3 linked regions of the Daphnia pulex genome follow. Each later gene encodes a partner of the first gene's protein in a complex. Links are inferred from orthologs where the notes say so. Each region holds a gene or a part of one and is shown in the gene's direction. Other genes may lie near its edges.

Evidence for each region.
Region 2: mediator of RNA polymerase II transcription subunit 24-like (region 1) and mediator of RNA polymerase II transcription subunit 21-like share a complex: the UniProt entries of both Drosophila melanogaster proteins name them as parts of the mediator complex. The link is inferred for Daphnia pulex from reciprocal best matches to the Drosophila melanogaster genes MED24 and MED21.
Region 3: mediator of RNA polymerase II transcription subunit 24-like (region 1) and mediator of RNA polymerase II transcription subunit 19-like share a complex: the UniProt entries of both Drosophila melanogaster proteins name them as parts of the mediator complex. The link is inferred for Daphnia pulex from reciprocal best matches to the Drosophila melanogaster genes MED24 and MED19.

Annotation. Positions count from the first base shown.
Region 1 is NC_060019.1:9,366,983-9,370,747, reverse strand, and holds the start of mediator of RNA polymerase II transcription subunit 24-like, read left to right. Parts: upstream 1-1,273; 5' UTR 1,274-1,465; coding exon 1,466-1,561; intron 1,562-1,634; coding exon 1,635-1,760; intron 1,761-1,844; coding exon 1,845-1,946; intron 1,947-2,004; coding exon 2,005-2,366; intron 2,367-2,422; coding exon 2,423-2,751; intron 2,752-2,809; coding exon 2,810-3,138; intron 3,139-3,195; coding exon 3,196-3,432; intron 3,433-3,500; coding exon 3,501-3,667; intron 3,668-3,724; coding exon 3,725-3,765. UniProt on the Drosophila melanogaster protein: Component of the Mediator complex, a coactivator involved in the regulated transcription of nearly all RNA polymerase II-dependent genes.
Region 2 is NC_060027.1:1,946,102-1,948,286, reverse strand, and holds mediator of RNA polymerase II transcription subunit 21-like, read left to right. Parts: upstream 1-910; 5' UTR 911-1,003; coding exon 1,004-1,045; intron 1,046-1,121; coding exon 1,122-1,334; intron 1,335-1,411; coding exon 1,412-1,573; 3' UTR 1,574-1,650; downstream 1,651-2,185. Other genes in the region: nudix hydrolase 8-like, read left to right, coding at 1-203, 260-486, 555-734. UniProt on the Drosophila melanogaster protein: Component of the Mediator complex, a coactivator involved in the regulated transcription of nearly all RNA polymerase II-dependent genes.
Region 3 is NC_060023.1:10,280,487-10,283,372, forward strand, and holds mediator of RNA polymerase II transcription subunit 19-like, read left to right. Parts: upstream 1-1,152; 5' UTR 1,153-1,369; coding exon 1,370-1,574; intron 1,575-1,615; coding exon 1,616-1,887; intron 1,888-1,952; coding exon 1,953-2,297; 3' UTR 2,298-2,380; downstream 2,381-2,886. Other genes in the region: required for excision 1-B domain-containing protein-like, read right to left, coding at 61-259, 326-411; MAP kinase-activating death domain protein-like, read right to left, coding at 2,763-2,849. UniProt on the Drosophila melanogaster protein: Component of the Mediator complex, a coactivator involved in the regulated transcription of nearly all RNA polymerase II-dependent genes.

The DNA of each region.
Region 1 (3,765 bases):
AATAGTACCGTAATAATGACGCACAATTCAAAATAAAAGTGTCGATTGATTCATGTCATTTTCCAACGCAGTTGAGCACGACATCTCACGCCATTTTTTTTTTTTTTGTTAATTATAGTCCACGAGAACCAGCCTACCTTAAATAGTAACTCAACACCAACCAGGATGTTCTTGAGAAGAAGAATCGTATTGCTGACACTGGCCCTTATTTTAGCTATTGTTATCATCACCGTGACCATTGTCGGGCTTCTCATCTCATCATATAATGACCGGTACATGCACAGTATAAATATCCAACAAGAGGAGAAATCGGAGATTGTTCTACTTTCTCAATTTCTTCAGTCTTTACATTCTTATTTATTTTTAAATAAAATTTAAAAAATCTATTTTTGCAGTCAACAGGCAGAAGCGGAAGCTAGAAAAGACCATGGTACTCACATGGAGATAGAAAAATATGAGGATATGGAAAAGAAAATGAGTTCTATCGCTTCTGATTTACCCGAGAGTGATGATACGGAAATCGATGAACGTGACTTTTTACCAGTACCACCAGGTGTAGTCGTAATATTTTGATCATCGCATACACGGACGGTCATGGCTGAAATTATTTTGATTAAACATGAATAGCTACAACAAATACGGACAGCAGCGGCAGCGGATTTGAGCCTTCAAGTACGGAAAAGACTTCGTTGAACGTGAATTCTGTTCCTCTAACAGACGAATATGAATCATCTCAAGAAGTTGGAAGTGGAGATTCGTTAGATCATCATCAAGCCGGTAGTGGAGATAATTCCGAAGATCGACACTTTGGCATGGGAAGTGGGGATTTTTCTGGAGACCGACGAGACGTCGGCAACGGGTTTGATCAACCCGTTTAATTCGTCACAACTAACAAGCAATCTCATTCCGACCTTCCTCTTGCAACTATATAGTACTTTATATAATAAATACAATTTATCCCTGTCACTGCAAATTCTATTGGTAAATTTCTTGTGCACATGTTATGAAAGCTATCCGTAAATACATACAAAATTCGTGTACCATTTAACCGCGACCAAATTCTTTCTGTTACGTAAACCGATGTTAAAACTAAAAGTTTTAACATAGATTTATTTTGTTTTATACTAAAATTGTCAAATTGATTTGGTTCTGAAAACACCGAACACGGATTGGCCTTCAAGTGGGGGATCGTTTGTTAAGCACGTAAAACACTAATTGGTCGATTCGTTGCTGCTGGTAGTTTGAATTCCACGCGAAAATGTCAAAATGATTTGTAGTTCCACTTTTCACCGCTGGGGTGTTTATGGTATACCGTGTCGTCTGCTTTGAACGCTCCTCTACAAACCACAAACTCAAAAATTTCACCTCACCTTCAGAATTTAACGAATAATTGTGGCGTACTTCAACATATGTTTGTTAAATTGTGTTTTAGGTTATTAAGCTTGAAATTTCTATAATCGAGAGGATGACTGAAAGTGTAGAGCAAAAGCTCAAGCACTTGATGAGGAAGGCTTGGAGGGAACGTTGGACAGATCTCATGTGGGGGATATATGTCAAAGAGGTACTTTAACTGTAATTTCGTAACAAAAAAAAATATCTTTACCAGTTTTAAATTAAACTTTCTTTACATAAAGGTAATACCAGCAGGATCAACTGGAGATACATATAATCTAGCAGAAAGCATTTTACAGCAGGCTTTGATCGGACCATCTCCAAATTCAAAGTTGTTGTCATATCTACAGCATTCATTACATGTTCAAGTAAAACCACAACTTTAATTCAATTACTAAACACATTTTGTTTTGCTTGTTAATATTTAATTGCATACCATTTGTGTGTTTTAGATTGTTTCCTACAGTGCTGTTTTCGAAAATATCTGCCTTCAAGGTAGTATCCAGAAAACCAGATGCCTTTTGGAGTTACTACTTTTGGTGGAGCAATCAATAGTAACTTTTCCCATTCAGTCTTAAATTGAGATATGGTTTTAACAATATTATTTATTAGAAACATATTTCATGTACTGGATCTGGCGATGGGCCTGCTGCTTTAGCTGCTTCTCTATTGTCTTTGGAAACTTGGCTTTGGAGTCTTACGTCTGATGGACTAAAAAAACTATTTGATAATAATAGTGCAACCAATGACTATTCAGTCATTTGCCATTATACTACAGGATTACTGGGGACTTTGTATGAAGAGAACTATTTAATATCTCTTCTATACATTGCACGTTGCTGCACTAATGATCAGTTTTCAGCAACTCATCTTACATCGCTTGTAAACCAAACTGAGTCCAACCTGAAAAATTTAACTACTAATGGGAATCCGTCATCAGAAAAACTTGTGGAATCTGTCGAAAAAGTCATGAGGTACTTCATTTGATGTTCTTCGTCAATGAGTGGTCATTAAAACAAATTCTCCACAGGCAATGCCGATCATTTGAAAATGATCTATTCAAAGAAAATGGTCCCGAAAAGCCCTTTTACGAGAACTCATTGTGCACAGACGTACATACATTAATATCTTGGGAGGCGTTGCTTCGCCCCACGTCAGATGGCCTTGAGTTGACTCGACAGTTGGAAGTTCTACAGAAACTAAGAGGCTATTCACCCACCCAGCTCTATTGCGAAATCCTCAGAGCGTGTTGCCTAGGACTAGCCGAAACTGCTGATTCTCCTGGAGAGCTACGTTGGGCTGTATTCACTTTCCTCAAGGCACCGTCATTACTACTCCGACTTCATCGATCAATTTTTGGTACGATTAGCAATATTTTAAAATTTCAAACTGTTCTATTAAATTCTCGTTTATCCAGGATTGGATCCAAATTCGCCTATTGGAGAACCAAGTCCGGAAGTCGCGGGTGCGTTTGAGCGCCTTCTTTGCTATCCTGGACTTTTAGAAACAACCGATGCCAAATGCCATTGCAATGTCGTCGAAGGTTTATTAAATGAAGTGAAAATACGGACATCTCTTTTATCTGAATGGCATGTTACAAGCATCCTCAGCAAAAGAGAAAGTCTATCCCGCGGAGGTCTGAAGTTAGAGACCACTAACACACAAATAGCTACTTTGGTTCTTCGTGCTGAGCCAACGGTGGCCAGTATTCTGAAAACGTTGGATACTGATTACGCTAAAAATCAGGTAATCAAGGAAAATGTAGAGAATTACGTAGAGCAAGTAATAACATCTTCATTTTAGGACACGCTGTTGAAAGTTTTATCTCATTTGCTTTCGGGGCAAAGCTTCGAACTCATACTGAACGCTGCAACTGGGACTGGTAAACTCCGAGCTTTTGCCACAAAACTCGTGCGATTTAACGAAGCGAATCGCCAACCTGCTGGTTCCGATCCAAGTAAAACTGCAAATGCAAGGGCTCTACTCTTTGACATCTCATTTCTAATGCTCTGCCGTATTACGCAAATGTACGGCATTGAGGTAATGAAAATCATCTAATAATTCACACCTGAATGCCTTCTGATGTTACTTGTTCTAATGATCGATAGGTGATACTGAGTGGTGAACTAGGAGGGGAGACTTTCTTTGAGCAGTGGGCTTCAGAATGGCTGAAACCTAATCAGGCGCCTGATTTGTCATTAAGTCGCTGCGATCCCATGTTGACTGATCAGTTATTGAAAGCCTTGACATCTGGAGAGAGTGACCTTAGATCAGGGTAAAATAATCTCGCCATTTTTTTCTTGAAAAATAATAAGCCCATTTCTATTCATAGGAGCGTTCGATGGCACGAAGCTTGTTTCCACGTCCCTGCTG
Region 2 (2,185 bases), on another chromosome or scaffold:
TTCTTTCCATCACGCAAACCCAGAGTTGAGTGTGTTGCTCAAATGGTTGCCTTCTGACGAACCTTGTCAAGTGCCTAGTTATGCACACACAATGGTAGGCGCTGGAGCCATGGTTGTCAATGATAAGAATGAGATTCTTGTGGTTCAGGAAAGGTATTACAAAAGACCACACTGGAAACTCCCTGGTGGTTATGTAGATCCAGGTATGTATATTTAGACATCATTAACATTCAATCATTACCAATTATTAAATTTACAGGGGAAAGTATTGCTACTGCTGTCAAGAGGGAGGTGTTTGAGGAGACTGGTATTAAGACAGAGTTCGTTTCACTCGTTGCCGTGCGGCATTTGCAATCAAGAGAGAAGAATCCCAGTGCAAGGTTCGGCTGTTCAGACATTTATTTCGTGACTTATCTCAGACCTGTTGAAGGTAGCACAGAAATCAAAATGTGTCCTCGTGAGCTCAGCGACGCTTGTTGGATGCCGGTTAGTTTTCTAAATGTCAACATTTTCAATTATTCCTAGTCTGTGTAATTGAATTTTAAATATTTTAGCTGAAAGAATATGCGACTCATCCGCTTGCCTTCGAAGTTGGGAAAATCTTTGCTACACAGTTAATGGCGATTGCCGATGGCGATAATCCCGCAATCAACTGCCTGGAATCTATCCATCAATTGACTAATAGCAATAGCCAAATTTACTTAGTTGAAGGAAAACAAAATTTTAAACTGTAATGTGTTCAGGATCACGTTCTAGTATTTTGTTTTAGTGCCTGTTACGGGAATCAGATAACGCATTATATTTAGCTTGAATTGTTGTTTTAACAAATTATATATGCAGATCGGTAAATTACTGCCCAGTTCCTGTAATCATCAGAATGTAGAATTAATTTCACAATACAGGTTGTGAATGTTTAAATTTGGCATTGAAGTTATCAGATTCATCGCTAGGTGGCGTAATAGCCGGCACATCTGCTTTTCTCATCTCTGCATTTCCATCAACAATGGCTGATCGTTTGACACAACTCCAAGACGCTATAAATGCGGTATTTATAACTGATTGCATTGACGAAATTGCCAAGTGTATCGTCTCAAATTCGTGGTTTAATTCTCTGTTTCTAGCAAGCTGATAATTTCTGCAATGCCATCGGTATTTTGCAACAAACCGCCCCACCGGCTACATTCCCAGGTTTCGATCGAGCAGGCAATCGAACACCTCAACAACAACAAGAAGATCACGCTTCTCTTTTTGCCACATTGATTGCCCGCTGCGCCAAAGATATTGACGTCCTAATCGATTCACTACCCAGTGAAGATTCTACCTCCGAACTGCAGGTATAAACTTGGTTCTATTAGTATTCTGTCGGTGCAATGTTCTACGAAGTTGACTAAAATTAATTCAATCGCTGCAGATTGCAAGTCTCAGAAGGCTGGAGAATGAAAATGAAAGTGCCGCTGCACGATTGAGGGAGGTTGTCAGCGAAGGAGAGCTGATGCTCGAGAAAATTCAGAATGCACTTCACGACATTGCACAGACCCAACTGGCCATGCAGAGCACAGGTCCAAATTCCTAAATCCAACCATTATTTGCTCTAGTTCCCTATTTTTGATATTTAAAAGAAGAAAATGAAACAAACAATTTGCTCTGCAAGAATTTCGTTTCATTTCTGGTTTCCGCCACAACATCAATTTTAAATCTGTTCTTTTCAAAATCATATTGAGTGAACATTCTTGTCACACACAGGTGAGGCAAGTCATTTCAGGAAGGAAGGAAGATGGGGTGACAGATTGTAAAAGAAACTGTTTGAAAAGGATTCCAACCTTTTATATATCCACTTCTTTTTTTGTCTTCCTTTAGAAAACCCAAAATGGAAAGAAGGGGGGAGAGAAGTTGCTGTTCACTCGTAAGAAGAGAAAGAACACGCGGTCCGTTTGTTTAGGAATGGCGTGCAACAAAAAAAAAGAGGAGGGGGGAGCGGGAGGAGGAGAAAAAAAAAACGATAGAATGTTGTTTAGCTTTTTATTTTTTAAAAAAGAAGAAGTAGAAAAAATTCTCCCGTGTGTATAAATATAGTGCTGCCATCTTCTCCGACCCCTTTCGGCGATCTCCGGTCGTTCGGTAAGAAGGGGGAAAAATAAAGGGGGTTGGAAGTGGGTGGCGTTCAGTCTCCCCACTTCCTTTTTTT
Region 3 (2,886 bases), on another chromosome or scaffold:
TAAACAGAAAATCAACAAGTTTAATAAATCTTTAAATCTTAATCTTTAATAATTTTTTACCAGTTCCAGCTGCCTTTTCTCATAATCCTGCACTTTGATAACATGCAATGTCAGTTCAGGCTGCATGTTTCTCAATTGGCACTCAATTTTAATTATTTCTTCTGAGATTCGCTTAAAGTCTTGAGTTATGTCTTGAACAAGTGTACGAAACTGGATAAAGTCATAATTTGGTCCAGTGCTCAGATAAATCTTATGCCCTCTGGAAAGAAACAATACATGCAAAAATTACCTCATGTGAAATTTTTTAAATAACATTGTAACTCACTCATGAAAAATCTTGTAGGTGTGGACCCTTTCCTCTTGCAATTGCTGGAATTTCCTCAAAAGGCCATAAGCTGTGACTCCATCCATGTTGAGAATTATAATTTTACTAACGTGTAACGAACAAAACGGAATGAACGATCTAGGTAAAGAAAAGATACGAATTGTATTGTATATTTAAAAGGAAATAAGCCTAGGTTATACAAATAATTACCTTTGGAGAAACAGAGTTCTTATTATCACGGTTGCGAAGGTAGGTTTTCTATCCTCGTAACATCACGACTTGTGGTTCCAGAATAAAGAGGACGACTATATTTTAAGGGTGACGACCCGGTCCTTTCATCAACGCCCCTAGGGTCAATTCTGAGACAGACAAAAAAAGGGCTGGGTTACTGGGTTGGAAAAGCTGAGTCTGGCCTTTAAAAAACCCTCTACAATACACTAGGGAGTATGAGATAAGGATTTTTTAAAAAACAGCCTCTGCCTTCAGCCAGTTTTCTGACTTTTCTTGAGACTATTGAAGGACGCCGAACTCGAATTCGAAAGTTGAATTCGACCTCTGGCTAGATAGATATTTTTTGATAACATGAATAATAAAATATACATCAACAGTTTGATACTATTACCAGACGGAAATTGAAAAAAATTGTGATTAAACTCACCATTAAATCACACGAGGCGGACACAAAACTATCTACCCTAGCAACTGCCACTGAGTCTAAACCTCGTGTGACTTTTTGACTTTTGAAAGCGTGCTCTCGCCAACTTGGCCAATTCAAGTCCTCGGGCAAAAATATTTGCATAGAGGAGCATCTAGTTATATCTTTTGGGTACAGGTGGCGCTGGTGTTTCGTTATGCTTTTTCGCTGCTGTGTTTACTCTGTCAATTGTCATTTTTGGCATCCAACATTTGCCTGAATAATTTATTAATATCTATAATTACTACGATATATCGGATTCGACCAAGGTCAGTCTAGTCGGATACGGAGATTTTACAAGCGATGACCTCATACTAACGAGTAAAAAGGGTAAAAGTTTTTGACAAAAAATGTCGGAATCATTCACCATCCAAGTGGCCGATTCTCTTCGGAGATTTGAGCCGAATTCTCCAAGATCTTCTCCAAGAGGAAATCGAAGCCCAGTTGTTCCCAGGCAACAAGATTCCACTGGAACACTGAAAACCACCATATCACTTGGAAAGACCCCAACAATTGTTCATACCGGACCATTTTATCTTCACAAGGAACTGCCAGGTATACATATTTTACGTGACTGTATCATTCTTTCACTCAAGGTAAATCTATCGCAGGAGATACTGACCTAACCGGAGCAACAAATTTAATGGCTCACTACAATTTGGAACATTCATACAACAAATTCAGTGGCAAAAAGTTCAAAGATTCGCTATCTTCATTCTTACCTGGATTACCCGGCATGATTGATACTCCTGGTAACACAGACAATTCATCCTTAAGATCCATCATTGAAAAACCTCCAATCGGTGGCAAGGAGTTGGTATTCTTGAATTCCTCTCAACTTGCAGGATTCCGTCTTCATCCAGGACCAGTAAGAGACTTTTAGACAGCAAATCACATAATTGTTATTTTAATTTTCACATCTTTATTTCATAGTTGCCTGAGCAGTATCAAACCTCTTCCCTGGCCCCACTGAAGAAAAAACAGAAACACAAGAAACACAAAAAGAGTAGCGAGATCTCAATTCAAGAAACTGGAGCTGGAATCGCTGGACCGGGCATTGGAGTAGTAGGAGAGGGAGGAGCCGGTTCGGGCGGTGAATCCTACGAAAAAAAGCATAAGAAACAAAAGCGACACGAAGATGAGAAAGATCGCAAGAAGAAGAAGAAGGAGAAGAAGAAAAAGAAACAGAAGCACAGTCCAGAACACCCAGGAGCATCAGCCTCAATCGGTACTACAAATTCAAACAGTAACCCACCTGGAATGATGCCCTTACTTTGAGAAACCTTCTTGTCACGTCGATTTATTTCGAATTTTTTCTGCTTCTTTCGAGAGTATAAATAAAATTCCATTCAATGAGTGAATTTTGGTTTATTATTATTCATTCTTTCAAATATTTTCTTCTAAATCGGAGTTTGAAAGCTATAGCGTTGGCTTGCCCGAAAACAATGATAAGCACGTCACGATAGCTACACGCAAGTCACAATCGCTCAAATGATATGATCAATAGGGTAAAACAACTTTATATTCATTAATTACAAATACTAACAGTGAATGTTCGAACGCAAATTTGTCAACTGCTGTTGGTTCAAATTTCTTGATGAACCGTACCATGACTAGATAATTATTATTGCGACGACTCGTACGACAAAACGAACGAGTAATCATTTAAGTACAACAACTAAAAGTAACAAGCGAATCAAGTGATGTCCGGTGTGTGTTGCTTGGTCGATTGATGATGAGCTTTCAAGTCGGCTCAACCTTTTTACGCTGTTCGCTTCCGGCGGCCACGTAAGAAAACACGCAGAGAACAGCGTAACAAATCTGATCCGCCTGTTTTGTTTAAAAGAACAAAAAAAGGTTGATTAAT